4 linked regions of the Alligator mississippiensis genome follow. The protein of the gene in region 3 purifies or fractionates together with the protein of the main gene of each other region. This does not show direct contact. Links are inferred from orthologs where the notes say so. Each region holds a gene or a part of one and is shown on either strand. Other genes may lie near its edges.

Region 1 (7,282 bases), on a different chromosome or scaffold from region 3:
ACACACCCAAGGTGCTGGAGGAGATGGAGGCCCGCTTCGAGAAGATGCGCACGGCCCGGCGCCGTCAGCAGCACGCCAGCTACTCGTAAGGGACCCCCTGGCCCTCTCCATTCCTCCCAGCTACTCATAAGGGAGCCTCCCACCCACCCCAGCATGCCAGCCACTTGTAAGGGATCCCCCAGCTATTTGTAAGAAACCCCCTTGGTATTCCAAGTGCCACCCCTCTCCCTCCCCCCCCCAGGACAGCAGGTACTTGTATGACAGTCCCCAGATCCCCACAGCATAACAGCTTCTCATAAGCAGTCACCCTAAAACAGCAGGTACTCATATGGGACTCCCTGGGGCTTCCACACCCTGCCCACCCCTCCCAGGCTCCATGCAGCACAGCAGCTACCCCATAAGAGACCCCCAAACCATGCAGCCTCAGCCAGTCACCTGTAAGCACTGCCTCAGGCCTGGAACCGCCTGTCCTCCTTGCTGGGAGTCCTTGGCAGCAGCACCTTCCCAGAGACCCCTGAAGTCCGCCCCCACCAGCTCCTCAATGCTCCCCTCCAGCCATGGCAGCTACTTCAAAGGACCCCCCCTGAAACCCTGCAAACCCCCCCCCCCCCCCAATTTGCCAACTTATTCCTCCACTTCAGGGCTCCACACAGTCCCTACCGATTGTGTCTGCTTCAGTTACTCATAGGGAATCCCTGCCCCCACAACCTGTCAGCTAATAAAGACCCCCCCAGACCCCTTGGGAGCTGCCCAAAGCCCCTGGCCCAGGAGTACCAAGCCCATGACCCTGCAGCCTACCCCACAGCCTGCTAAGGGGCCCCCCCTTGGCCTCTCCATGCCCCCCCTGGCCCCTGGCACCCCCTTCATAGCCCAGCAACCCCCAGGGTTAGGTCCCTCTTTACCCTGGGGACCCTTCCCCCCCATCCCGAGCCTGAATAACTCCTGCCTCTGTCTCCCCAGGTCACTGGAGTCACGAGGATAACGCCTCATCCCCTGGTGTCTTGGCAGGAGGGTGCTGAAGACACCCCCCCCCCCCCCCCCCCAAGTTCTGTAAGTGGCTGGCTGACCCCACCTTGGGAGGCAGGGGCCTCTTCCCTCCCACTTTCCCCAGTCTAGCTACCCTTCCCCACCCCCAGTTCTCAGTATGGCTGCATCTGCTGCTCCAGCTCCTCTCTGTACAGTATTTATTTCCTCTCTATTTAAAGCCCTTCCCCGTATGTGAGTCAGAGCGAGTGTGAATCCATGCGGCTGCCTTGCACGTCTGTGAGAACCAGAGGCAATGGGAATACCCCCTGGGCACACGCACATACATGTCTATATACACACACACACACCTGTGTCCATCCCCAGAGGTGGCTGCACCTCTGTGCCAGGCAAGGGGGTACCCTTACTGTGCCCCCCCCCTCCCCCTGCCCAACTTTGAAAGTGAGTGCAGTGCAGTGAATGGCCACTGGGTGGTGAGAGCTGCAGTGCTCCCCACCACTGGTCGTGCCCCTCACTCCTGACCTGCTGCCCCCACCTTGCTCCCCAGCCCTGCCGGTGCCCCTCACTCCCAACCCACAGCTCTTTTTTTTTTCCCCCAGCCTGGCTGGTGCCCCTCACACCTCAGACCATTTCTGTTACCCTGCCCCAAACCCCCTGTTACCCCTTCTGGAGCAGGGGACCCAAGCATCTATGAGCCTCCTGCAAGGGTGTAGCAAGCCCTGCTCAGCCCCCCACATATTGGCTGTGGGAGAAGGGGCCAGGCCTGGGAAATGGGGCCCTGCCCCACTCCCCAGCACTAACTCAACTCCCCCCCCCCCAGGTGCCTGGTTTGGTCCAGCGGCTCTGGTGCCTGGGAAAGCGCTTGAAATTCCTAAGGGGGGGGTGGAAGGGGGAGGGGGGGCCAGCAGCCGGGATGCCTGGGTTTTCTCCCCACTCTGGGAGGGGAGCAGAGCCTGTCTCCTGGCAAGCCAATACCTGGGCCCTGCAGATTGTGCTTGGATCGTGTCTCTGTGAATAAAGGTGTGAGCGAGTCCGTGACATACTGATCCCTGTCGTTTGTGTTGCCAGTATCTCGTGTGACCTGCCGAGGCTGCAACACCCCTCTAGCAGGCTGGGCTGAGAGTGGAGTGTCCCCTGCTTCTCTCCCTCCCTCCCTCCCAGCTTGGCATCACCCAGGACCTGGAGCTGAGCAGGTTGGGATCCCCTACCCACCAGCCTTGTGGACCTCTGTGCATCTCCCCTGGGGAGGGACTTCCAGGTGCTGACAGTGAACAGATCCTATGGAAACAGGGCTGGGACAGCCAGGGGCACTGGCTGCCTGGGAGGGGAGTTGCAGGGATAGGGCAGTATCTTGCCTCTCTGAGTGGGCACCATGCCGAGGAAATGGGGGCACCAGCTGGCTGGAGGAGGGGAATATTTTTTGTCTGCTAGTTCCATCCAAAAGCTAACCCCCTTCCCTACCTTCTCCCAAGCCTCATGGTAGTGGCCTGATGATCACCTGGGCATCCTTGTGTGCATTCATGCAACACTAGTTTGAGGAGGAGGGTGGCAAATGGACATCTGTATGCAACAAAGGCACCTGAGGTGAGCAGAGGTGCACTGTGGGAGTTCATGGGCCACTGCTGTCCCACACTGCAGGGCTGGTGGTGTGTTTCCTTGTGTTGCACATGCTAGTGAATGGCTGGGGGCATCGGTCAGTTGTCTCCTGCCCCTTCTGGGGGGGCACCCCTCCCCACCCATCTTGTCCCCTGGCTTACAGGTTTCAGGCCTGGTTCTTGGTTTTGCTGAGGGTGGGGGCTGGGTGGATGTTGTGGGGCAAAGGGACCCTGGCCTCTAGGGTGGAGATCAGACCAAGGCTTGATGCAGACTGTAAAGGACTGTTTAAGCAGCTGGAGCTGCAGGATCTCCGTACTATCAGAAGAGTCTGCCCGTGCCATGAGGCTGCATGCGAAGGTGTGACACTATGTGAAAGCATGTGCTCTGGATCAGTGTTATGCTTGTGACTCCTGCTGCTGTTGCTGCTCCTGCCCTCCCTGCCCCCAGAGCCCTTCCAGGTACATGTGTGCCCTGTGTGGTGGGGGTGAAGCAAGTCATGTGCGTGGAGGCCTCCAGCTTTCATGGGTTTCATTGTGTTGCACTCTATTTGTTGCACATGTCTTGGGTTCTTGTGCATTGCATGTTCCGCATGTTGCACGTGTCTTGGGTTTCTGTGGGTTGCTCCACTGTTCTGCATGTCACACATGTCTTGGGGCTCCTGTGGGTCACACTGTGGTGTATTCTGCGTGTCACATGTCTGACTTGGGCTCTGGTGCATCACACTTTGGCATATTCTGCAACATACGTGTGTCTTGGGCTCTTGTGGATCACACCTTGGAGTGTTATAGGTGTCAAGCATCTCAGGCTCTTGTGGGTCACATCATGGTGTGTTCTGCCTGATACACATGTGCCTCACTCTTGTGCATTGCACCATGGAGTGTTGTGCATTTGGTGTGTGCAGGCTGGTGTGTTTCTCTGCACCAGGGCTGCTGATCCACCATCTTCCCAGGCTCCTCCTGCTGATCTGTGTGACAGCAGTGCACTTGTGGACATGGGGCAGTGGGGTGTGGAGCTCTCCAGGGTGGCACAAAAGTGCCTGTTTCTCCTGTGGGGTTGCAAGTGTGTTCTGGTGTTTCATGGGCTACTGCTAACCCCCACGGGGCCTGGTGTGTCCTTGTGTTGCATGTGCTAGTGAACCTCCTGTGCTGGCACGACCTGGTGTGCTTCTGTTGTGTGGCATGTTTCCTGGAGTGTGCCCACGGTGTGGTGTTTGTCTGTGGTCTGGTGTGTGCCCATCACGTGGCGCGTAGCCATGGCCTGGCGTTTCCCTGGGTTGCACGTGTCCGTGGCTCTTCGTGCGCGCCCTGGTAAAGGCGCTGGTGCCCTCCTGAGCCAGGAGCACCCACTCCCCCGCCCCGCAGCCCCCAGCCCCTCCCCCGCTACCAGCCACCCACCGGATGACATCATCCTCAAACCTAACCCCGCCCCCCAGTCTCTCCATTGGCCTGCAGCTTCCCCCCCCACACGCCCCATTGGCCGGCTAGCTCTGCCACTTGGAACCCCACCGCCCCCTCCCACCCCCGCGCGGGGGCGGGGCTGAGGGGCTGCCCCGGCGTTTCTCCGGCTCTCATTGGGTGGCGGCACTGTCCGTCAGGGATCTCTTAAAGGGGCCGGTGGGGAGGGGGGAGGGGGCTCCGCCTGCCGGCGCTCGGCGCTGGGGAGGGGGCGGCATGGCGCGGGGCAGCGGCGTCCTGCGGGGCGCGGGGGCAGCGGCGGGCAGCGGCGCCTGAGTGGGCGCGGGGGGAGCGACCCCCTCCATCCCCCTGCAGCCCAGCCCGGCCCGGCCCGGCCCGGCCCGCCGCAGCGTCCGCACCGGCAGTGCAGAGGTAGGGCCGGCGTCCCCGCCCCACCCCGAACACCCTGCCCCTGCCCCGCCGTGTGCCCGGCTCCCCCGCGCCCACACTGCCCCCAGCGCACCTCGGTGCCCCCCTCCCCTCATGCCCGGTGGCTCACCCCTTCTCGGCCCGCACCTCCGGGCACCCGCATCGCGCACAGCCCGGCCCCCTGCAGCCGCTGCTCGTCCGCACCCCCCGGAGCCCCCCAGCCCGGCCTCCCAGTGCCCACCCTGTGCACCTTCCCCCTCCGCGCCCCCACACGGATGGCTCTGCCCGGTCCCTGCACCCACTGCCTGTCCTCCCCAACCCCCACTGCACCTGCCTGCCCCCCAGGCACCTCCATTGCCCACACCACACTGCACCCTGCCAGTGCCCTCTTTGTACCTCTGCACTGCCACCCCATGCACCTCCATCCCATCCTGCCCGAAAGCTCACTGCTGAGCGTTGACTTGAGCCCTGCCCCCCCCACCATGTACCTGCCCTGGACCCCCTCCCTGCACCCTATTGCCCATCCCCCATGATGTATCTGCCTAGGCCTGGGCCCCACCCGTGCACCCCCAACCCATCTGCCTCCCTCCTGCACCTATTGCCCATGCCCTGCAACCCCCATCACACAGGCTTTGCCCCATACCCCCCACAACATCATCCAGTCTATGCTGTTCCTACCCCAGCCCTGATTTTCCCCCCACACCCCAGCCTGGGGTCCCTTCTAGGGGGTGGTGGCTACGCTGTCCCTTGGCTTCCTCCCTTACAGGAGCTTCCCCCCACCAAGTCTGCAGGGCGATGGAGTCTGTGTCTGCAGCTAGGCTGGGAGGAGGGGTCTGGCTTTCAGGGTGCCAGGCAGTATCTCTGTCTTCCCCTCCTCCCCCTCCCCCACAGCCTGGCTGGGGGGGGCGGCTTAGAGCCCCGTGGACCCCCCCACATTCATCTCCTTGTGGGGCTGGCAGGGAGGAGGAAGGGGGGCATCTGTGCTGGGAAGAGGCCTTGGGCCAGGGTGGATTCTTTGCTGGGGGGGATCTTTGCTCCCCAGAAAGGGCCCCAGGCTCAGACCCTGCTCCCTGCCCCCCTTCTCAAAGTCTGCACACATCCCTCTGCCACCTCAGTCAGGTGTGAACAGGTGCAAAGGGGAAGGAGAGCCCCTCCCCTGCTCATGCTTGCTGAGGGTGGAGGGGGGGGCATGTGGACTCAGGCTTGCATGCATTCACACAGCCCTGCACACGCGTGTATGTTGCCCTACACTTGTGCCCACTCACATGCCACAGACCCGCTTGTGCACTGTATCCATGATGTGGGGGTGCATGCGCTGGCATCGGTCCCTTTCCATGTTCTCTGGGACATGCATGGTGCTGTTGTGACACACCATTGGTGCGACACCTGTATGCTGGCATAAGCTGGGAGGCAGTGTTGGCATGATGTGTGTAGGTGGAGTCTCCACACCTTGTGCAACACATGTGCGGCATCACAGACATGCTAGTGTGCTATTGGTGTGATGCGTACACCATGGGTGTGATATCCTTTTGCACATGCTGGGGCACTATTGCTGTGGCACCCTGGTGTATGATTGCTCCGTGGCCCACATGCCAGTGCATGCACTGATACTGTGTTGGTATATGATACATGCTTGTGTCTGGAAGCGGGGAGGGGGGTGTCTGGAAGTCCAAAGCCTTGAGGATCACAGGAGCCAGAGGGGAGGGTCCTGGAGTGATTGTGGTATGGCTGAGGGTGCACAGGCATGTCTGTATGTGTTGGGCCTCTGTGCATGAGGGCACTGGTGTGTTTCTGCATGTGGGGTCATATCTGTAGGTACACAGGGATCTGTGTGTATGTGGAAGGAGACTATCTCCATGAGGATGCAAGGGGCTCAAACCAGCTGTGGTGTGCCCAAGTGTGCCCGCATGTCAGTGACTGTGTGCGTCCCGGCCTGTGTTGGTGCCCAGGCCCCAGTGTGTGGCAGTTGCACATGTTGCTGTTGGGGAGGAATGAGGTATGTGCATCAAGGGCATGCATGTGCAGATGTGCCATGGTCCTAATGCATGTGTGTAAGTTGGCACACAGGACCAAAGTTGACTGGAGCATGTTGCCGTGTGGTTCTGTCCTTCAGCCCCCTGTGAAGTAGGGTGCACCTGAGTGTGTGTGTGTGCGTGCACGTGCGCACACATATGCTTGAGCCCCCATGTCTGTGCGTGTGTGTGCATGTGTGCATGTGTCCCTGCATGTGCACGAGTCCCCAAGTGTTCACTAGGATTTGTACAAGCACCCTTAGGAATCATATGTGTGTGTTTGCACATGTGTGGCTCTGCATACCGTGTGGCATGGGCCCCTGAGGACTTGGGTGCACATGTGTGGTTCTGTGTACCAGGCTCTGCAGTGGTCTGAGGAAACTGTAAACACCTTGGAGTTTGCATGGGTGTGTTGTATGTCTGTGTGAACATGTGTGGCCCTACATGCCACATTGTGCCAGGTCCCAGGTAGCTGTGTGTGTGTGATCACATTTGCTTGCATGTGTGTGATCACATGTTTGCACCTGCATAGGTGGCTTCGTGTGCAGTGTTGTGCAGGGCCCAGGGGAGCTGGGTGTGTTTGTGTGTGTGCACATGTGTTTGCCCATGGCTCCATGCACTGCTTTATTCATGGAACTGGGTGCCTGCATGCCTACCTGTGCATTGGTGTATCCATGTGCAAGAGAGCAAGTGTGCTGCAGCATACAAAGCCCTGAGGCCTTGTGCATACATGTAAATGTGTGCACTGTGCTGTGCAAAGCCGCAGGGAGCTGCTGGGGACTGTGTGTTCACACAAGCACATGCATGTTGTGCAAGACCTGAAGGAGCTGTGCTGGTTCATGCACACGTGTCCTATGTGGCAAGGCT
Region 2 (7,948 bases), on a different chromosome or scaffold from region 3:
CTAAAAGCCCTGAGAGATTAAAACTGCTGTCAGGACCCAGAGCAGGATAGGGATGCACTGTCCTTCCCCTTTTCCCTCTCACCTAATTCTATGCCAGAAGCCAGGACTGGCAGTAGAAGAGAAAACTCTCTGCAATGCACTGCCACCAAAAGATCCCCTTGGCTCTGTGGGGATCCTTCTGGGACCTGCCAACCAGTTTGACTGCAAGAAACAACTGTGGGAGCAGTGCAAACATTCAAAGGACCCAATCCATAATGTTTATTTTTGAGGAACAGGGAGGATAATAGGCAGCTCCACCTCCAGACACGAGGTTGCATTTCCAGGGTGGCAGGGGCATGGGGATCATCTTTGTAGAGCAGCCCATCAGATCTGGCAGTGTCAGTGGGACGGAATAAATGCAGGACACCAAGTCCTTAGTTTGATTATAACTTCACTCTGAAGGTCCTTTAGATTAGTTATACATATTCAGATGAAAGTCATATGAGCACATGCAACTCCCATTGAACCTCCTGGGAGCTGTGCTCATTCTTGCCATGGTTATATTTGGTCCTCCACTGAGAAGTTAAATGCTGTAGCACAGTGGCTTTTAGCCTGTGCTCTGTGGCCACCTGGGGGTCCACAGACTATGTCTAAGGGGTCCATGAAAGATGACTATGATCAATCAAAAGCAGGTGAATAGCCACAGTTATAATTCAAAGGGATCTGCACCTCCATTCAATTTTTTTTTAGGGGTCTGCAAATGAAAAAAGGTTGAAAACCACTGCTGTAGTACAGTTTGCCCAGCAGGCTGGATGGGCAGTGCCTGGTCTGTCCACGGGCTGGATGCCAGTCTGACGCACAAGTCAGATGTGGCCCCATCCAGGTGTGGGGAGCGGGATGGGGCAGCCCGACCTTGATCCAGCCATGTGACATAAGGGGGTTAGCCAGGTCCCAGCGAGGCCCCCCAGGGTGGGGAAGAAGCATAGCATAGCCCCATGAGGGGAAGAGGGTATGGCCTGGCCCCCTTTCAGCCATGATTCGGGTATGCAGGGGAAGGGGGTTTGGTCTGGCAGAGGGCATGGCTCAGCCCCACAAGAAGGGTGTATGGCCCAGCTCCAACCCACTGCACGGGACTTGGGAATCTAACATCAGGGGAGGGTGGTGGTATTAATCATCACTGCTCCCCACCACTGCCAAATTCCTGTGCCATGGCTCTGCAAGCTGCATGTGTCTTGTAGGCTGGAGGTTGAGCACCCATGCCTTTGCATAGTGTTTGTCATCCTTTTCCATACCAGGATCCCACATTAAAAAAGAGAATCATCAGGGCCCTCTCTCACCATAAAGAAAGATGTTATGCTGTCCAGGCTGACAAGCTATTCCTAAGCAAATATAATTATGTTTATTTTCATGTATTGTCTTGCAGTAGGGCCATAGAGCCCCAGTTCTGGACAAGGACCTCAGTGTGCTATGTACTGTACAAACACAGAACAAAAACTGTTTGTCATTTAAGAGGAACATGCACTCCTCTTGAGTGCAGCTGTGTTTAGCTGCTTTTCTTGCGACATCTGTTAATGTCGTCACGTTGCAAATGAATGCGGGCTTTCGAGCTGTAAGAAAAATCCACAATGATTTTGGAAAGGAGTGCTCCTAAAACAAAACTCAGTGGAGAATTTTTGCCTGAGCAGGGGCGCAGGATTAGATCTCATACACTGTTTTGAAAAATTCTTAAGATTCAGAAGTTTATTTTGTATTTATTTTTCTACTTGAGGCCACAGTTGGTGATTTTAAGGAAATGGAAAGCTGCAGGGGGGCCTGGAAAATTAGACTGGCCATTCGAGTTTGTGGGTATGTTTACTCTAACTCTGAGAATATGGGTTGCCCCAAGGGCAACGTGTATTACAGGTTGCTAAATAAATATATGTTTAAAAGCCTCTTTGTACAAATTAGATGGGCCTTCTTTATTCATCTGTTCTCCTTGTACACTACAGGTTTAAAAAAGTAAAATACAGTATAGAAGGACTGACTGCTGGTGCAGGTATTCCAGGAGTGTGAATAAGGAATAACTCCACTTGAGCCAATGCAGTTATACTGTGGACAACAGGAATAAGTGTGAGGAAGGTTAGTGCCATAATATTTAGAAGCTTAAGCAAGAAGTTAACTTTTTAGGAGGTGTCTAAAAAGGTTTAGAAAGAGGAAATGTTAAAAGGATCTGGTTAGCTTAGTCTAAAAAGAGCAGACTGAAGTTTATTCTAAAGGGGATGGTGGTGAATTACTCTCTGTGTCTTTTAAGCATAGAAGTTGTCATCTACTTGATTTGCAGCAGTGGCCATCCAGATTAGCTCTTAAGAAAAGACTTGCTAACTATAAGAATAGTTAAGCACTGGAACAAGTTACCTAGGGGGCTGTGTCTAGTTTTTAGGAACAGGTTAGCCAGACAGCTGTCAGGGAGAGCCTAGGTACATCTTGGGGAGGTTCCTACTTCACAGCAGGATGATGGAGCATATGACATCCTGAAGACCCTTTCTGCCCTGTATTTCTATGATTTCTTTTAATGTATGAATTTTGGTGTCCAACTTGAGACACCTTTAAGCAGAGTGACTATATCTTTCTTGTCTCGAAATGGGACACTGCTTCCCACCTCCTCCCCTCTCAGTTGTTTCTGAGTTCCTGTTTCAGCTGAGTGTGGGGGGAAGGATGCCGAGTGCTGGAACTGGGGAGGAGGGAGGGGGAAACAGCTCTGTGTTCATCAGCACTCACTATCCCTGGTGACTTCTGAAAATCCTGGCCCTGACCCTCAATGTCCTGAGCATGCAACATTCCCAATTAGTGCTAAGGTCCGTTGCTCTAAGGTCCAGAGCTCTAAGCTCAGATCCTAGGTACATTGAAATAAAAGTCTCCCTTGACTTCAAGGGAAAAGAACCTGGTCCTGTGGTTCACTGAGCTCATTCTGCTTTCAAGGCAGTCAACCACAGGTGAGGGAGCTCAGCATTTCATAGGATGTCACAGAGGGGACTATCAGGAGGATGTATGTCAAGCTCAGGGCTGTGCAAAATGGTCAGATGCAAACCCAAAAGCTGAGTTCTTGGTCTTGTTACTAACACGAAAGATGCCTCAAGTTTAGAAAGACACGTCTCAAGCATGGAATTTAAGTGGTGCTGGTGGTGATATTATTGTTAGACATTATAGATCGAAGTCCCGTATCCCTTACAGACATGATTGGGTCTTGCAGCAGTAATGCATTTGTCCCAATATCTTCTCTATGAGTCTATGTGACTGACTGGTATTTTGAGAAACTATCCTTTCAAATCCAAACACCCAAGTGTGAGGGAAATGGGTTTCAAATCTACACACAGCTCCAGAGTCAAAACTGGTATTTGGCCTCTCTCTTTGGAAAACAGAAAGTTTAAAACCTGGGTTCCCTTTATAATTTTGGTATTTATAAAATCCTGTCTTATGGAGGGACTGCCCAGCCTCCCTGTGAAACTGAAGATAGTTTCCCAGGGAAGGGTCTTCTTAATTTCACCAAAAACCAAATAAACTGTCCTGGAATTTCCCAACGCATCTTAGAACAGACATTTTTTTGGAGAGTTTGGGTTGCTTCTGCACAGCTTCAAACCTTTCCTGAAAATAGAGAACACAAGCCAAACAACCAACCACAACCAATAAACAACAGGCAATGAAGTATTTCTTCATGTACATCTGAGTGCTGCTTGAACCATCACGCATGAATCAGGCCGGGAAACCTTCGGCAAAACAGCTTCACCCTTATGTACCCAGCCTCCAGCCCAACCCCTGCTGCAGCACACTCATCGAGCTTGCAGACCAAATCCTCCCATTTGAAAAGAGGTTGGGATTTTTCCCTATTTAAAGAGACATCAGGATCAGGACCTGATGCCCCCTGCCTGCAATCAAAGGCACACTGCCAGTGACATCGGGTTGTCCAAGCCTTAGGGGAAACTGTAAATAATTGGCACGAAGCGAGACCTTCTTCTATATATTTTACCTGTGCCTTTAGACCACGTTCTGAGCACACGTGCAGGTATTGATCAGGGCACAGTGCTGAACCAGCCAACAAGAACAATGGCAACAGGAACTGATCCTCCCGCCTCCCTGAATTGAGCAGCAACAGCCCTCCCCTGGCAACCCCACGCAGGCAAAAGCATACACAAGTAAGTCAGGCCTTGCAAGAAATGAAGTGGGGGCTCTAGGACCCACAGAGCAGCGTCTTGATTAGGATGCACTGAGCTGTAAATTCAGTGTACGTGAGGAGATGCAGAAACAGGGATGTGTTTGTGGTGCTCGATACACCCCCCTCCTCACACTGGGGAAGTGAAAAGTGAGGAGCCAGCCCCCAAATTATACTGATTTACTAAGAAAGAGGCATATCTCCTGCCACGCCTGGATGCTGCTTGTTAAAGCTCGGCCAACTGCAGCTAAAGGGAGGTGTGGGTCTCTCTCCAGTGTCTGGTGAATTCGTGCCTGCCAAGGACCACGCGCTCCATCCTTGTGGACAGCCACGGCTGTGAGCGCAGAGCGTGCCAGGCAGGGCTCGAATGACACTTGGACCCTTGCGGGGGAGCCTGCAAACAAAATTAAACCAGTTCATTGATGAACAAATCCAGCTCAGCGAAGGAGCAATCTGCTCGGAGACCCCCCCCTCCCTAGGTTATAATTTCCAAATCTTATATCTCTTATGGGGAGCCCCCCCACCCCCAAGCTCCCCCTTCATTTGCACCCTAGTGCCACGCACAGGGTGCCTCAGTGGTGCACCCCACGCGTGCAGCAGCCAGGCCAGTGGCAGCATTAGCATGACCCCCTGCCCCTGCACCAGGCTGCAAAGGCAGCTCCTGACTCAGGGATCTGCATTTCTCAAAGGGGACAGCCTGGCTCCCACAGCAAGCCCCGCCCCCTTCGTGGACCATTGAGAGGAAGACCTCCGCGGTCCTAGAGAGGCCCGTCTCGTTTCCTCTGTGTGCTGCGGGACGCTGAGAGAGACAAGCCGGCTACGGTGGCGGCGGCGGCTCAAGCCGCGCAGGTGAAAGGTGGCGCCCAAGATGGCGGCGCACCTGAAGAAGCGGGTGTACGAGGAGTTCACCAAAGTGGTGCAGGTAACGGCCGGGGAAGGGACGGGAAGGGAAGGGAAGGGGGGGGGTCCGCCCGCCCGCACTAACAGCCCTCCGCCCGCAGCAGCACGAGGAGCCGGCGGCCAAGAAGCTGCGCCTGGCCAAGCCCAGCAAGTCGGCGGCGCTGCACGTGGACCTGTGCAAGGCCGCCTCGGCCGCCGACGCGCTGCAGCACCTGCTGCACTTCGCCCGCCAGCCTGTGGAGGCCGAGAGCGTCGAGGGCGTCGTCCGCATCCTGCTAGAGCACTACTACAAGGTGGGCCGGGCTGCGGCTCCGCCATCCGCTCCCTGCCCTCTCTCTCTGTCTGTCCCTCCCCACCATGCTGCGTGTCCCTTCCTGATCTGCCACGTGCCACATGCAGGCTGCCCGTGCCACTAGCATGACGCCTGCCACAGGTTAGCATATAACTACGCAAGAGTCTGATGAGCTTGTATAGAGGTGCTTGGCTGTGTTAGTCTGAATCAGGCTTTAGGTAAGGCAGGCTTCAAACATGGAGGCTCACTGGTTTGGAGAAGCACCAGCTTTCACAGGCAGCAGCTTCATCAGATGTGAGGAGCGTCCATTCCTTATGTTTGATGAAATAGCTTGTCACCTGCAAAAGATTGTCTCTCTGAACCAGTTAGCCTCCAAGGTGCCAGCCTTCCTTATTCACTGCCCATCCCCTGTATGAATTGTACTGCAGCTTTTACAACCTTGGTGTTTTTGTTGTCTGTTTCAGCAGACAGGCGAAGGAGTTAGCACATATTCTGCATATGCGCTATCTCCTTCAGGGTCAGGCTTTAGTTATTGGGGTAGCTTGGTGTGAGAGAAGCTAGAAAGTGATTGCTGTATCTGGTTTGTGAACAGGCAGATTCTTACTCTAGGCTGCCGATCTAGTCTCTGTCATCATCACCCTTCAAGTTAAGTTTTATTAAAAAACAAGAGAAATAACACATTTTGCTGTCAAGATGGTGGTCTTCTCCTTGGTCGTCCTTCAGCTTTGTCTTGCGAATCATAGCCTTATTGTAAATAATGGGTCTTTATTGCAAGCTGAAGCTTTGTTTCTGCAGATCCTTATAACAGTTTCGTTTTAAATCAGTCATTCACTTGCCCTGTTGAAGAAGTCATGAGGGAAGTTTCAGTTTCAGCCCAGGAATCTGCTGTCTGGCTGGAAAGAAAATATTTTGTAGGTGAGAGGTTTAGAGCGAACTCTGTTTTTTAACCCCGTGAATCCTGTTCTGTTTAAACAAATGATGTGGAGGCTCCTTATAGCCGTTCTTACTCGCTTTACAAGATGTTGGATCAGCTACACATGTTTCCCTCGCTTATGGTGTACATGAGTTCTTGGAAAACAGCACATAACTTGAATTTGCATAAAGGGGACCGACCTACTTTACAATGTAACAAATAGGGATACTTCCAAGAGCTCAACTGTACTGCCCCCCAGACCCACTTCTGCCACTCTTACAAGATAACTTTGGTATTCACCAACAGCAGACAGTACACACAAGCACAGCTGTGGCTCCAGAAGCACGGGCACCAGCTGCCAGGGCTCTGCGCTGATGGGACTGGACTAGGTCAGGCTGTAGGGGCTGGTGCTGTAGCCTGACCCAGGCACCACCACCCGGCTCAGTCCCCCCCAATTTTTTCTTCCTCTGTCTATGGCATCACTCCCACAATGCTCCGCACAAAGCAACTGACTGCAGGCCTCCACTACACTGATTGCATACAAGTGAATTTATCTTGCATATAATAAAGGTTTGGTATAAAAAGAGTCATTGCATAAGAGCGATTTCACACATACAGAACCTGCATAAAGCAAGGGAAACCTGTACTAGTTCTTTTCCAAATATGAATTTACAATGTTCTTAGAAAAAAGAAAACCCCACAATGTAGGGAACCTAATATATCAAGGCCCTGACCCTAAGAAGGTGTTGGAACATTTTGCCTGTAACATGATTTTCTCTCTTTTTTGTGATCTTGAGTAGGAACAGTTGAATGAAACTGTCTAGGTAGCATGCTTATTATTCGTTAGAATATGGTCAACCTTTTGGCCCTGTGGGCTGGGTGAGTAGCATGAAGCCAGTCCGCGGGCCAGATCTGTGCAGAGTCAGTGTCTAGATTGTGCCCTGTGTGGCCATTGCAGAACCATGCTATCCAGTCTGCTGGGCTCCCCATGGGTCTGGAAACTTGGCAGCAGGGGAGCAGCAATTAAGGTTGCCCAGTTCCCCTCCCACCATGAAGAGTCCTACAGACTGGATGATATGGCTGCTCAGGCCAGATTTGGCCCGCAGGCTAGAGATTGAGCACTGTTTGTATTTCAGGGGACTTATCTAGGGTTCAGATGCATATCATCTTGTTGGGAGCCGTTGTACAATCAGAAGGTAGATGAAATTCTGCGTAGATAAGGACAAGTGAGCCAGTGTTGGAAGGAACAGTTTTAAATCCGCACATGAGGCCAGTATTTCCAGTACTGAGCCTCTGCAATAGGGGCCAGTTTTCGACATGCACTAACTCTGGTTATGGTGCTCCTGGTCAGACTTTTTAAAGAGCCTGGCATCCAGCCTGCTGAACTCCTCTGAAAACATGGCCACTCACTTGGTGCCTAAATGGGGTGAGAGCTGTGCTGTTTTGAAAATATAACCTTTGAGGACTCTCCGTTTTAACTAGAACAGTCTAGACAACCTTTTCCCAGCTCTTTCACTTCACCAGGAAGAGGGGCTACAAGTCACTTCTGTACTGGTCCATGAGGTGATCGCTGGGCCTAGAGGGTAGGGTAGGTTTCCCTGGCTTTTCTGGGAGTAAAGGAAAATCAATTCAAAAGTCTTTTAAATTAAAAAAAATAAAATAAAATCACAATTCTCAT
Region 3 (7,086 bases):
ATCAAAGGTGGCTGGGAGGGACTGGGTGGTGCCCAGCTCATTTCAGGCCTCTCAGGCGTAGGCACTGCAGTGCTGGGGGCCGGCACTCAGCTCCAGCACAAACCCGGGCAGAGGGGTGATCATTGTGGTACCAGGCCCAGGCGGGTGCAGGGCAGCCCCCGCCTTCCCTTCCCCGGTGCAGCTGAGCCGCACACCCGTGACCTCCAGCACCTGCCCCTAGGGCTCCAGCACCAGCTACACAGCCTCCAACGGGTCTGCAGGCAAGGGGAGGGTTTTAGAGGGGTGGGCAGGGCCTGTGGGTGCCTGGGTTTGGTGAAAGCCTGAGCCTGGTAGTGCCAAGGATGAGGCCTGAGCGTGCTGGACAGGCTGGGGGAGTGGGGCTTGGCGTGATGGGTAGGGCCTGGGGTGGGTGAGAGCCTGCACCTTAAATCAGAAGAGGTGGGGCTTGAGGATGACAGACAGGCAGAGTGGGCGGGACCAGGGAAGCAGATGCCAGGCTTGGGCAACAGCCTGAACCCAGGGCTACAAATGGGATGGGGCTTAGGCTGATAGACAGGTCTGTAGCTGCCATTTTCCTGCTTTCCTGCCCACTGGCCGCTCTGGCATTACGTGGTTCCTGGCTGCATTGCTAGATAGCGGGAGCACAGGGCCCACACCAGTACCCCGGGGCCTGGAACAGGAGTTGGGGGTAGGGGGCAGTTTGCCTGCACACATCCATGCAGTGAGAGAGGGGGAGAGAGAGACAAAGCAATGACAGAGTATGCGTGTTTATAGGGCAAGTCACACACCCCACTATATACATACACCCACCCTCGCTTGCATTGCCATACACACAGACCCCCACACCCACTCCCCCTCCCACATCTCTGCCACCCTCTTCCCCACACACAACCTCCCACAAACCCCAAACCCACCCACACCCCACATATCCACATACACCCACATGCTCCCTCACCCCACGCCTATCCACCCCCACAGAATCCTCCCACCTCCACCCTCCCCCACACCCCGCATACCCACAGCCCCCCACAAATCTATATGCACCCCCTGTGCCCCACCCAATAGACAACCATAAGACTTCATTTTAAGCTATTATACAATCACCTCTGTGTAGACTCAGCAAGCACATGTAAATCAGGACAAAAATATTTTTGAAACCAAATTAATGCATGTTTTCAATGTTTGATTTTTAAACTATAGTTTGGTACTTTTCTGGTTCTGAGATGGCAAAACCCCTTACTGAAAGGACAGACAAGGTTCTTTTGGAGGCAAGGGGAAGGACTTGTGCATAAACGACCCGTGCCCCTGGCAGCTGGTGGGGCACAGTGGCAGGGGGAGCATGGCGACAGCAATGGGAGGACAGTGGCGGTGAGCGGGGAGCTCCTGCAGCTGCCACCGGCAGCATTGGCGGCAGCCCATGGGGATCGCTGACCGCCCACAGACGCCACTGGCAGTGCCGGCGGCAAGGTGGTGAATGGCAACCACCTGCAAGCACCTTTTTGGAGGGGATGCACTGCCATGCTCAGGGGGTGCATGTGCACCTGCGTACACCCCCTAGGCATCACCCCTGGACTTCTGGTGGCAGGCGGCAGGACTTCCAGTCCCAAGATGATGACCAGGGGGCGGGGCACCTGTTAATGGGTGGGGCTACCCATGTGGCCCTCAGCAGCTTGCCAGAACCCGAAAATAATTGCCCGCCCCTGGTTTAGATGCTGCAGCTGTCTATGTTGGTTCCCCCAACACCTCCCACTACCTCCCCCACCCACCTAAACATACCTGTAGGGGGCGCTGAGGCAGGGAATCAGGGGTCAAGTGAGGGGAACCAGCAGGGCTGGGACATAGGCGAATGGTGCCACCTTAGCCCAAAATCACTTACTGGGTTGGACTCGGGTGCTGGGAGTGCCTGTGGAGGCTTGCCATGGCCTGAGATGCGCCCAGCTCTGGGGTGGAACTGGCGGGAAACAGTCAGTGACCGTCTGGGACAGGAAGTGGGGACCTCGGGCCAGACACGGCTGGGGCAGGTGCTGTCATGGGCAGATGTGGAAGTGGCCCAAACCAGGGCCTAAGCAGGATTCAGCCTCTCCCTGCTGTTAGGAGAGAGATCCCAGGTGTCTGGGCTTGCACAACCCCCTGCTCTCACCCACCTGCCCCTGTTGCCCAGAGATCCCAGGCGTCCGGGCTCCCAGGGGATAGAAGGTGCATGTGTCCAGGCCCGCTTGTTAGACCCGAGGCTGCTCATGGTGCCAGACTTTTAATCGCTCCCTCTAGCGTCCATCCATCCATGCCTCCCTCCCTCCCTCCATCCATCATCCATCTTTATATTCATTCACTCCTCCATCCCCAGAGGCCCCCCCTCTTCATCTGTCCATCCATGCATGCTCAGATGCCTTCTTCAGATGCGGGTCAGGAGTGACGGGGCAGGGCTGGGGGGAGCAGGGGCTGCGGGTTGGGCGTGGGGGGCACGGGCTCACCCCAGCCCCGGCCCTTCCTGCTCTGTTGCAGGATACGTCTGGGGACGAAGCAGCCAGAGGTGAGAGCTCAGCCCCCACACGGCCGCCCGGATGCGACCTGGACCCCCGTCCGGCCCTGCTACATCGGGGGCCTGGTATCTCAGCCCAGCCTGGTATCTCCTCCCGCTCTTCTGCCTTGATTAGCCCCATGGCCACGAGCAGGGGCTGGGTCTCCCCACTGTGTCCCCCCTTGGCGCGATGCTCAGGAGCCGCTCAGGGTCTCTGGGGACAAAACATAGGAGGCTTCAGGAAAGATGGAGCCGCAAGGGCCCCTGTATATGTAAGAGGGCAGCAATGTGCTGGTTCCCCTGTTTTGGAGCTGATTTCCTTTCCCGGTCACCATCAAAAACCTCCTAAATGCTTGCGTTCGGCTGCATCTTTTAGGAAGTCAAGAGAAGAGGGGAGTTGTTGCGTGTTTGCAGCTCTGGCCGAGAGGGGGCTGGTGCAGGGTACCATGAAACAATGGAGAGAGGCCGAGAGAGGAGCGTGTGGGACTAGGCAGGTAGGTATGTGCATAGGTGGATGGATGGATGGATGGGTGGATTGACGTAGCGCAGAAGGTGGGCTGCATGGGGATGGATGGGTGGGTGGATGAGTAGATAAATAGACCGATAGACGTGTCGGTGGGTAGAAGGACGAGTGAATAGACGTGTATAGGAGCAGATCGGTGAGACGGTGTATCGGTGGCTGGAGAGAGAGGTGGGGAGCGGGGCGGGGCTCGGAGCAGGCAGGCCGGGCGGGAGCGGGTCCGTGGGCTGTGGCGCGGGGGGAGGCAGCCGGATCGGGGTCTCGGGCGGCAGGCGAGGTCCCGGGCCCCATAACATCCACTGTGGGGGCCACAACGATCCTAGCTGGTGCTCTGACATCACAGCGAGTGTTATGTCATCCCCTGGGCTGCAATGTCATCTTGGGTATGACCTCATCAGCGCAGGGCTTTGTGACGTCACCCACGGCGCTGTGGCATCATGAAGGCACCCACAGTGCTGCTCCCGTGACAGAGCCAAGATGGCCGACCTTGCGGTTGCTAAGGGCAACAAGTATCATTCCCCGCCTTAGAACCACCCAAGCCCCAGTCGTTCTCGAGGGTTACATTAGGATTGGACTAGTGCCATGTCAATCAAATCGAGTGGCCAATTATCTGAGAGAGAGGGCGGGCGCTGGGACACGGAGTGCCGTTTTCCTCCCCCAATAGAGTGTAAGTGAACGGAGATTGACAGGAACTATCTAGCCAATGAGAAAGCAGAGGCGGGAATTCAGAGGGACGCAACCAATAGGATTTAAAGGAAGGTGGGGTACTTTGAGCTCTCGCCCAATGGCGTTGTGGAAGAGGCGGGTGCACTGGCCCCAAACCCAATGGCGCTTGTAGCGCAGAGGGGACGGACCAAGTGTCATCCAACCAATTAGAGCGCGGGCTGGATGTGGCTGACACACCCCTTCGGCCAATCACATCAGGGGAAGCGGGGAGACACTCTAAGTGACCGCCAGCCCAGCCAGTGATAAGAGAGAAGGGCAAGACAGGGGCCCCGGCCCAGCCAATCAGCGCGGGGCCACCCCTGCAAGGCGGCTAAGGCGTCCCCGCGGCTCTTCAGTAGCTGGAGCCGGGAGCAAAGATGGCGGCGGCCGACGGCGACGACTCGCTCTACCCCATCGCGGTGCTGATCGACGAGCTCCGCAACGAAGACGTACAGGTACCGGCGGCGTCGGGGCCCCTTAGGCCGCACCGGCGTCCGCCATCAGCCCGGCGCTCAATCACGCGCCGCGTCTCATTGCCGCAGCGTGGTTCGGGGCATGAGAGGAGGTGCCTCATTGGCCGCCGGCGCCCCTCGTTGGAATGAACGCGGGGGGACCGATGTGGGGGGGCTCGTCTGAACCCCGAAACCCCTTCGGGGGAATGAGGAGCCCCTTGATTGGGCGGAGCAGCGCCTATCGGGGCGCCCCTCACTCCCTGGATCCTCTTCGGCGTGAGAGGAAGCCCCTGATTGGCTCAGAGCTTCGGACTGGGGTCAGTGAGGGACGCTGTTTGTTGTCGAATCCTGCATTGTCTTTTGTGGGATGGGACGAGCCCCCTGATTGGCTGGCATCCCCCATTCATTCCCGTGAGACCCCTCATTTCCTTTTGGGGGAGGTGCTGAGAGCAGTTTCTGATTGGTTGTTTGCTGGAGATTATAGAACCTATTGGGGGGCCTGATTTATTGCATTGAGGGAACAAAGTGTGTGTGGTGGGGGGGGGGGACAGGATGAGAGGAGTTGACTGATTGGTTCTTCCTGTACCCGTACCCCTGTACCTCTATGGGGGCCAATTGGAGGGGCTGTTTCACACTAGGGGTCCTTTTGAGGCGGGGGGAGGGGGGGTGATTATAATGGGTTCCTGCCTATGAATGGGTGGTGTAAGGCTCCTTCTTTTTAGGTGGGGTGGGCAGAGCCTATGGGACCAATCCTGGCTTGTTCCCTGTGGTAGATCCATCCTAGGAGCCAATCAGAACCTTTCTCGGTGTCACGCCTGGTCTGGTTGACTGCAGGAGGCTTCCTCAGCTGCCAATGACAGCCTTTCCCCGCTCTCCTGGCATTCCCTGCTATTGGCTGGGATCCCATGGTATATTCCTGCAGGGCGGGGCTTGTAGCAGCCAATCGGAGTTTTCAGCCATAAAATGCAGCCTTCTCAGCCGCCCGCCCCTCCCCGGGATGGGGGCGTGGCCGGCAAGGCTGTCCCACCTGGTTGGCTGGAGCAGAGGTTGCTATGGGGGAGGCAAGTCCTCCCCACGGTCTGTGGGGGGAGGGCAAATATACCCCCCACCCCTGGGGGGGGCAGTTAGGGGATCTGCCCCAGTGGGTGGGGCTTCTGGGGTGGGTGGGGCTATATGGGACTGGCTGGGCAGGTTGGACCAGCTGTGACACAGGAAGGGGCGGAGCCATGCAGGGGCAGGGACCTGGTCTGTCGCAGGACACCCAGGTTCTCTGCCCGGGGCCTAGGGCAGAGCTGAGGGTGGGGCCCGGACGCCTGGCTTCTCTCCAGCTCTGCGGGGGGACACGCACATTAGAGCCCCCGGCTCATCCTCAAACCTGAATCAATGCGCCCCTCCCCCCGCCATCCCCAATCACTCCTGACCCGCAGCCCCCTGTCCCCCAAACCTAGCTGGTGCCCTCAGGCCTCCCCTCCCCTCCTGCCGTAGCAGGGACCTGGTGCCCCCCGTGTTTAACCATTGATGTGCCAGCCGGGCCTCAGTGCCCCCGTGACCTCAAGGAGCCTTTGCCCATCCCCTGTGATCCCCACTCTCCCCACAGCTCCGGCTGAACAGCATCAAGAAGCTGTCGACCATCGCGCTGGCGCTGGGCGTGGAGCGCACCCGCAGCGAGCTCCTCCCCTTCCTCACAGGTACCCACAGGCCTGGGTTCTCTGGGAGGGGGGAGAGGCTGGGGGGTGACAGTCCGGGGTGCTGGGAGCCTGGATGCCTGGGTTCTTCGGGGGGGCAGAGGATCAGAGCAGGGTTGGGGGGCTCGGACAGCTGGATTCTTCGGTTGCTGTCAGCAGCCTCTGTCCCTCTTCTCCCCCCGCAGACACTATCTACGATGAAGATGAAGTGCTGCTGGCACTGGCCGAGCAGCTGGGCACCTTCACCGCCCTTGTCGGGGGGCCCGAGTATGTGCACTGCCTGCTGGTACGTGCCCTGGTTGCCTGGGTTTTTTGGGGGGTGGGGGGGGATGGTCCTGGGAACTTGGGCAGTGGAGCATAGTTGGGCAAGGGTGCCCGGATGCCTGGGTTCAGGGCTGGCTCTGGGATTTTGGGGCATGGTCCTGGATGCCTGGGTCCTTTCCCAGCTCTATATGGCCCGTGGGCTCCCCTTGCGGGGGTGTGGTGGTGCCCCCGGACACCTGGGTCTCTGTGGCCAGGATGGGGCCGGATCTCCCAGACACCTGGGTTCAGTGTTGGTTCTGGGAGGTGGGGAGGATTCTACAGGGCCTGCCCTCCCAGATGCCTGGGTCCTCCCCTGACCTGAGGCAGAGAGGGGGCAGGACTGTTGGGTGGGGGGGCAGGGCCTTTTAGGGGGAAGTTGACCTGGATGCCTGGGTTCCCCCCGGGCCTGCCCCACCCTGCCCTGAGCTCCCGGATGCCTGGGTCCCACAGCCACCGCTGGAGAGCCTGGCAACAGTGGAGGAGACCGTGGTGCGGGACAAGGCAGTGGAGTCCCTGCGGGCCACGTCCCATGAGCACTCGCCGGCTGACCTGGAGGCTCATTTCGTGCCCCTAGTGAAGCGCCTAGCGGGTGGCGACTGGTTCACATCCCGTACCTCAGCCTGCGGCCTCTTCAGCGTCTGCTACCCCCGCGTGTCCAGCGCCGTCAAGGCTGAGCTGCGCCAGTGAGTGCCTGTCATGGAGAGGAGGGAAAACTGAGGCTGGGGGGTGGTACAACCATGGTGGGGGGGACTGAGGCAGGGGGCAGGGTGATTTGGGGGCAGAAGAGAGGCTGGGAGGGGTGGGGATGTTTGGGGGCGGCAGGGCCATGGCGGGGGAAACAGATACAAGGGGTCATTTTGGGGGAAACAAGCTGGGAGTGGGCAGAGCTGTTGGGCTAGGGCC
Region 4 (7,569 bases), on a different chromosome or scaffold from region 3:
TTGGGCTGGGGCTGTGCTTAGGGAGGGTGCTGGCAGTGCTGGGAGAGAGGTTATGGGGGTGGGGACTGCAGCCACCCCAAATTTTGCCATAGTTTCTCTCCCAGTACCCTGCCTGCTGCCCCGAGTGTAGCCTTGAGCACAGCCCTCATGCGCCAGGAGCACAGTTCTGAGCAAAGCCCACATGTCCTGGGAAGAGCCTGGAGCAGCCCCGGCCCACGACCGCAGCCCAACTTGCCTGCACCCTGTGCAGATCCAGGGGCACAAGCCCCCCATACCCTCCCAGGGTGCACACAGTGGGGAAAGCCCCTCCCTCCTCCGTGCCCCACAGACGAGCCATGGCTCCATCCCATGCCCTGCCCCAATGGAGCAGGGGCAGGTGTTGCCCACTCCCTCCCTCCCTCCCCCTGGGAGGGTGTTGCTCTGCCCCCCCACCACACCCCTTCCTTCCACCACAACAGACTTACCAGCTGGATGCAGCTCTTCATGCTGCTGCGTTGTGGCATGTAGGTTGACATTATATACCTCCAGCACAACCAAAGAAGTGATTTTCCCACTCTACTCGGCACTGGTGAGACCACAGCTGGAATAGTGCGTCCAGTTCTGGGCACCACACTTTAACAAGGACACGCTAAAGCTTGAGTGAGTCCAGAGAAGGGCCACCCGTATGATGAGAGACTTGCACAGCAAGCCATATGAGGAAAGGCTGAGGGATCTGGAACTCTTCAGCCTGGAAAAAAGAAGGCTGAGAAGGGACTTGGTAGCAGCTTACAGTTACATCAGAGGCATATGTCAAGGGCTCGGTGAACAACTGTTCACCAGGGCACCTTTGGGGAAAACTACAAGTAATGGTCACAAACTTCTGGAAGACTATTTCAGGCTCAACATTAAGAAAAACTACTTCAGAACTAGGGTGTCCAGACTGTGGAATAAGCTCTCTCCAGAGGTGGTGCAATCGCCTACACTGGAGATCTTCAAAAGACCGGACAGGCACATTGCTGAGGTCACCTGATCCCAATTGTCTTCCCTGCTTGGTGCAGAGGGCTGGACCCAATGAACTTCTGAGGTCCCTTTCAGCCTTATGGTCTATTAATCTATTAATTTATTGGCCAAATTATCGGCCACATCAGGCCAATTTCTGACGCAATCAACTTTCTTTACATTGGTGCCGATACAAAGGTCTGGATATTCCACTCATCAGGTTATTGTTTGTTCTGCAATTCCACCATCTGTTAGTTGCTGCTCCTGTAATAAAGCTCCTGTTTCACAGCTCTGAGATAGTTTTTAACTCACTCCAACTTACATTTGAATATAAGTTACTTATATTTTTCTTGAATCTTAAACTGAATAATACAGTTATTACAAGTTATTCGACATATTAGTAAAGCTTCTAATTTATTTTTAACTAGAGAAAAATATGTGGGATGATGCACCTCACCATCAGCACCCCCTTTTCAAATTATATATCTGCCCATGGTTGTTTTAATTGTTTGGAAAGCAGAATGCTAGAAGGGATGCAGTTTCCCAGGTACAGCAGGCAGGCCCTACTGACACAAGTGAAGGTGTGTTTTACTGGGGCCTTTTAGACTTAGAGGCAACATGAATCCCAGTCTCTTCAATCTCTCCAGTCTCTTGTCATTTGGAAGTCTCTCAATTGCCTCTGTTTAATTTCCTGGAAATAGTCTCTCTGGAATGTCTCTGTTCCCTATAGTCATGGTCCTGCTCTATTTTATTTGATATAGAATGACAAAAAATGAACACATTATTCTGTGTACTACTGGCTCATCTAACAGCAACATAATATTTTCCAATATCATTTCCCATCCTGTTCCTTATACCAGAGACTCCAGAACTTTTCTATAGTGAAACTTTTTCCTGGAATTCCCACTCAAGATGCCCACTCGCATCTAGGCAGGATATAGCTGACAGCACATTTCCATGTACTAACTTGAAAAGGACAGGGTAAGTATCATTCCTCTGCCATATATACAAAGTGCCAAGTGATAATTTCTATACTTGATATATCCTGTTATTTATTTTGATTTTTTTGATCACCTAGTCCACAGTGCTGTTCCAATTTTTTCCCCAAATGATCCTAGTTAAGTTTGAATTTATGGCTGTGTCCCTGCAATAAAAGTTCTTTAAATGTTGAGCACCCTGCAGGACCTAAGAAACATTCCAGACATTCAGGCCAAAGTCCTAACGTTAGGCAGGTATGCACATGACTCAAAGATGCTGCATTCCACAAGTCTGGCAGGCGTCATCTCCCCTAGAAGGGTAAAGGTGATTTGCCCTTCATTCCCTTATCCAAAATGGCTACTGACAATTGTCTTTGCCCTAAACAATGATGGCTGTCATATATAACACTTATAGACTTTCTGCCCTTAACTATGATGGCCACTGAATGTGATCTTCCTGCCCTTATCTAACATGGTTGTCAAATTTCACCTCTTAGGCTCTGTGGCAAATGACAGTTTGCCTGAACTGAGCATGTACTTGTAAGTCATCTTTACTCCTGGCAATTAGTCTACAGTTGCAAATTCTGCACCAGAGCCCATTACAGATGCCTAGCCACCTGTTCCTTTTGCTGGTCAGAGGGACACTTTGAAAGGTATCAAAGACCCCAGAAGCTGTTTTGCACCCCCACTTTCTCCAGTTTGTTAAATAAGAACTGAAGTAAAAAGGAAAATATGTAGACTATAAGACAACACCGTGTGTGTTTGGTTTTAAAAAACTGTAATTGTAAAACCTACATACAGTGAGTGATCAGAAGATGTTATTTCTCTATTTCTGCTGTCCTCTAATCATTTTATTCCCCGCTCCCACAGAGTATAATTTTTTTCTCTGATGTTTTTTCCCCTTGAGTCTCATCATCAAACCCTCTTTCCTTTCAATCAATCAATCCAAGATCCTTCCAAATATTTAAAAGGATTTGTTCTCACAGGAATTCTGTCCTATCCTTTGCCCCATGAGCATACATTTTTCTACCATCTCCTTTTCTATTCTCCCCACCTTCAAAATGTCTGAATGTATTTCTAGTAAGTCAATCTGTTTATCCAATCCATTTGCTGTAACATTTGAATTTCGCTCACCGTGTCCCTAATCCTTTTATAAGATTCCTTTTCCCCATGACTTGCTACAAACAGCCTACGTAATGACACTCATTAAATAAACTTATTTTCTGATTGTGGGTTCTGGGTCACAATCAGATAAATTTGAGATATGTCAGCAAAATAAGCCTCTATTTTAAATATACCAATTTGTAGGTGATATGCCATATGCTTTTGAGTTTTGGAAACAGTGCAATGTCTTGAAGTTTGAAAATCACTACCATAGTTTCATACCTCTTGTACAGTTACCCCTCTATCACTTTTCCCTTTTTGCCTTCAAAATTATGCAGTCGTTTCTCATCTTAGATATCACTTCCCTGCTTCCAACACCGTAATTGATTCAGTGCCACCTGGCTTTTAGTCTCTTCCCTCCCCTAAGACTTCTCTTTCTGCCATGTCCTATGTTTTCATTCTGCTTTGACCTTTGTTACCCTTGACACAGTTATCCACCACTCTTCCTTCCTCTTGGGCTTCTGGCACTTTTCACAATTCCAGTCTCTCTCATTGATTGTTCACGGCCGGCCTCTCTCTCTTCATTCGTTGTTCTTATTTTTCCTGCCTGACCTCCACTTCCATCTCTCAGGGCTGTATCCCTAACTACCCTCCTCTGCATACTGTGTCAAAGGGTGATCTTATCTGATGGCCAGACTTCATTTTTTATCTGTATCGCTCAAACTGCCAGCGAGCCTCAAGGAGACTGAATGGCCAAGGGCCACATTGAACTAGTACTCGAGAGACCAGTTCCACCACTGCATTTTACTTGATTTTGAGCAAATCTCTTTGGCCTCAATTCCCCCTCTTTGTAAAATAAAAATACATACGGACCTGCTTTATAATCTACCGACGGAAAATGCTGAGTAAGAGGCGGGCATTGCACAGTGGATACCTAACTCTTTTTTTTTTTTGTCCTCTCCTGTCCTCTGCTCAGCCCTGCCTCTGCAATTATCCTTCCCACGTCTCGCTCTCTTGCAATCTGGGACTTTAATTGGGTTAAGACCCAGCCGAATAGATAGGCGAATGCCTTGCGAAAGTGAGACACGCCTCGCAGCCGCGCAGAGAAGAACCTCCGAGCCGAGGCCGGGGCAGGAAAACCCGGGGGGGGGGCAGGAAAACCCGGGGGGGGGGGGCAGCAAACACCGCTGCACTGTCCGCCGGTTTAGTTACAACGAGAAGCACCCTCCCCGACCCCACGTGGGAGAGCGGCCCCGGGCCCCACCGGCTCGCAGCGAGCTGAGGCTGTCGGCACCTCCTCCCCTCCACGCGCCCCGCACCTGCGGCCCGTCGCCGCCGCATGGAACACCCGGAAGCGCAGCCCGCAAGTGCGGGCACCACCTCCAGCGCCGCTTCACGGCACTCAGCGCGCAGGCGCTACAATCCCGCGCCTGCGCCCTGCCGAACCCGCGCCTGCGCAGAAAGTGGGAGGCGGGCGCGGGGCCTTCCCTTTGGTCAGGCCCGGTGCGAGCGGCTCCTCCCTCCCCCGGCTGCCCCCCCTTCCCCCGCCATCACCCGCCTCCCGGCCGCTGCCGCCGCCGCCGCACCGGGTAGGTTTGCAGTCACTATGGCGGCTGCAGCGGGGAAGGTAAGAAGGGCGGGGAGCGCTGCGGCGCCCGCACGGGCCGGGCCGGGCGACTCTGACGCCGTTTCTTTGGCTTTGCAGGTCGGAGGAAAGTTTTCGGCGTCGGCGGCCGCCTGAGCGAGACCCGGCCCGGTCTCCAGGCCGCAGGAGCGGGCGCCACCCGGATGCGCAGCCACCTGCGGGGCCCCTGAGCGCCGCCCCGCGCCCGGGAACCGCGGAGGCGGCCTCGCTCCGCGCCCCCCGCCGGCCCCCGGCCCGGGCAGGAGCAGCCGCGTCGCCCCCCCCAATCTTGGACCACTGGCTCCTCTCCAGGGATGAGGGCGGCGGGATGCGGCAGGTCGCGGGGACCAGCTAAGCCACCTGCCCCTTGAAGGCTTCGTTCGCCGTGTGCCTGGACGCTGCGCCGTGCCCTTCCCCGGCTCCTCCTTCACGCCTTTCCTCGCTCCCACATTGTGGGTGTCCAGTCAGCCTTGTTTACGGAAGGGGGTGGGGGAAAAATCGAGGGGGAGGTAGCCTGCATCCATCCCAAACAGAAGTCTTGGCGTGTGACTCATCAGCTTGGCTTTAAAGATCTCCCTTGCTTCGTTCAAAGGAGCGCACTCCTCTTCGGAGGAGCCCCATGGTTGTTCCTGTCTGCTCCGAAGAGGATGGATTGAAAGCTGCGTCTTCTGGGCGTCGCTTGAGGCACTGCTGATCTTCTTCGTGGACATGATGGGGCTTTTTCACTGGATTATTGCCAGGATTAGTTTACACACTGAAACTGTGCGTTGTTAGGCCTCGCTGGGTGCAAGTGATGTTTGTCTTGCGTTCATGTAAAGTTTCTGGAGATTTGGGTTAAAAATTGTGGAGGGTAGCCTGCATCAGAAGAGATTCTCTTCCTCCCTGGTTGTTGTGACAACCGCAATCTGTCCTCGATGCCTTCAGCCTTGGCCATCTTCGCTTGCCGCCCGAACTCTCACCCGTTTCAGGAGCGCCATGTCTACCTGGACGAGCCCGTCAAAATTGGCCGCTCAGTGGCCCGCTGTCGGCCAGCTCAGAATAATGCTACTTTTGACTGCAAGGTGCTGTCCAGGAACCATGCACTTGTCTGGTTTGACCACAAGACAGGCAAGGTAAGGCCATTTTTGCTCTCCTGGAGAGGAAAATAATATATGACAGGTTATTTTCAGCAAGTCACTGTACATTGTGAGCGACTTGTGTTTTTCCTTGAACTTGGTTGCAAACTAAGTTTATGCTGCGGCTAGGGTTTTGGGGTTTTAGTTAACTTAAACTCTACTAAAGGCAAAAAAAACTGAGAGCAGGGTTTGTGAAATGCATTAAGTAGTAGAGGAAGCTGGTGGATCTTCCCATGATCACTTCTCATTTCTGGGGATGCATGACTTTCAGGGAGGAGTATTTTATATAACTCAAGGAACTGAGTTATAAAACCTGAAGTAAGGTAAATAAATGCTCATCATGGTAACCATGAATAGTTATTGTTATTCTGGTGGAACTGGCATCTCGCCCCAGTGCTGTGTTAAAATGGATGTATCGGCATGTATTTTTTTCCTAATACTTAAATATATATCTGGTATTCATATGCTCAGAAGAATAACTCTTAATTTTGAGCAGCTGTCATGCCAAAAGGAAAATAGCGAAGGAAAAAAAATGTATTACTCTGGTATTCTGCCAATTTATGCTATCAACTTTTGAACAATATATTTTAATACTCCAAGCTGATAGTCACAGTATCACTAGCAGGAGCATTGTAGTTTAAGGTTTGGATTATCTGCTATCATTGCTCGTGAACTGGAATTAAAATATGCTGATGTGGTGTTAACCTGGCCACAGTCCTCTCGAAAGAGGACAGCAGCTAGCACTAAATGGAAGTTTAAGAGCTTTGTAATACTTGTTTATGTCCACTAGGGTCTGAACTGGAACAGGCAAAATCACTTTGCTTAACCTGTCAAACAAAATATTTAAACTGCTAACTAGTAGTGAGAGCTGTTTTCTTTCCCCTCAAAATCTTCAGTCCTCTCAAAAATATGTACTAAAAAGCATGAAACATTTTGAAAAATGGATATAAAATGGGTGTGATACTTTACATACTGTAATCTAATTCAGTTGTCTGATGACTGTCTTTATGTGTTCCTCTATTAATTACTCTTTTTATTGCTTTGTATTCTAACAGAATACCCTGAATAAGCTGCTGCACCCGGTTTTTTCTTTTTGTTTGTTTTCTTTATTATCATGACACAGCATGAGGACCAGTGCGATACCCTGACAATTCTTAAAGCTTCAGATGTTAACTACTATATGTTATGCAATACATAGGCATGATGGGACAGGACATGAGTTTAACTTTATTAGGTTGGGTTGGGGCATGACTTGTAGATTACTTGGGCATAATTGCTCATTAACCTATTATTTGTTTTGCTATTTTATTTGACGCGTTATGATTCCATGTGATGCTGTAGAAGAGATGCATGCTTGATGCATTGCATATAAGCCGTTTAGGTTATAACGTCAGTTTAAAGACCTGGGATGCTTTCAAGTGTGAGCTAATATGCAGTTTTTCTTGTTTGAAATAATAAGTTGGATGCAGTAACCTAAACTATCTGGTGTAGTCCAGCATTTTTGACAGATGCATTCCAATTTTATTCTGCTTTCTGCCTGAGCTTCTCGGTGCTTTACAAACTTAATTAAGCTGCTTAACACTCTTGTGATATGAATAAAGATGCCCTTTTTTACGCAAGGTTCATTTCATTCACAGGGAGGCTTTGATGGTGGGCAAATCAGCTAAGTGTTGGGAGAGCTTAAAAGATAAGCAGCTCTGTTGTTTTAGTCTAGTGCAGTTAGCTTTAGACTTACCAATGCAAGTAAAACATGAGCTTTCAACATACAGAA

The links.
Region 1: the proteins of PPP2R1A (region 3) and PPFIA3 purify together in Homo sapiens (affinity purification with mass spectrometry; 4 studies listed by BioGRID and IntAct, with this or other methods). This does not show direct contact. The link is inferred for Alligator mississippiensis from reciprocal best matches to the Homo sapiens genes PPP2R1A and PPFIA3.
Region 2: the proteins of PPP2R1A (region 3) and INTS4 purify together in Homo sapiens (affinity purification with mass spectrometry; 3 studies listed by BioGRID and IntAct, with this or other methods). This does not show direct contact. The link is inferred for Alligator mississippiensis from reciprocal best matches to the Homo sapiens genes PPP2R1A and INTS4.
Region 4: the proteins of PPP2R1A (region 3) and SLMAP purify together in Homo sapiens (co-immunoprecipitation; 5 studies listed by BioGRID and IntAct, with this or other methods). This does not show direct contact. The link is inferred for Alligator mississippiensis from reciprocal best matches to the Homo sapiens genes PPP2R1A and SLMAP.

What each region holds. Positions count from the first base shown.
Region 1 is NC_081828.1:39,864,006-39,871,287, reverse strand, and holds the start of PPFIA3 (liprin-alpha-3), read left to right. Parts: upstream 1-4,272; 5' UTR 4,273-4,406; intron 4,407-7,282. Other genes in the region: LIN7B (protein lin-7 homolog B), read left to right, coding at 1-85, 961-982. UniProt on the Homo sapiens protein: May regulate the disassembly of focal adhesions. May localize receptor-like tyrosine phosphatases type 2A at specific sites on the plasma membrane, possibly regulating their interaction with the extracellular environment and their association with substrates.
Region 2 is NC_081824.1:465,164,233-465,172,180, forward strand, and holds the start of INTS4 (integrator complex subunit 4), read left to right. Parts: upstream 1-4,943; 5' UTR 4,944-5,033; coding exon 5,034-5,087; intron 5,088-5,166; coding exon 5,167-5,358; intron 5,359-7,948. UniProt on the Homo sapiens protein: Component of the integrator complex, a multiprotein complex that terminates RNA polymerase II (Pol II) transcription in the promoter-proximal region of genes.
Region 3 is NC_081838.1:29,895,007-29,902,092, reverse strand, and holds the start of PPP2R1A (serine/threonine-protein phosphatase 2A 65 kDa regulatory subunit A alpha isoform), read left to right. Parts: upstream 1-4,084; 5' UTR 4,085-4,120; coding exon 4,121-4,198; intron 4,199-5,792; coding exon 5,793-5,883; intron 5,884-6,065; coding exon 6,066-6,166; intron 6,167-6,633; coding exon 6,634-6,866; intron 6,867-7,086. UniProt on the Homo sapiens protein: The PR65 subunit of protein phosphatase 2A serves as a scaffolding molecule to coordinate the assembly of the catalytic subunit and a variable regulatory B subunit.
Region 4 is NC_081835.1:20,914,143-20,921,711, reverse strand, and holds the start of SLMAP (sarcolemmal membrane-associated protein), read left to right. Parts: upstream 1-4,568; 5' UTR 4,569-4,648; exon of another isoform or gene 4,649-4,764; 5' UTR 4,765-5,597; coding exon 5,598-5,795; intron 5,796-7,569. UniProt on the Homo sapiens protein: Associates with the striatin-interacting phosphatase and kinase (STRIPAK) core complex, forming the extended (SIKE1:SLMAP)STRIPAK complex.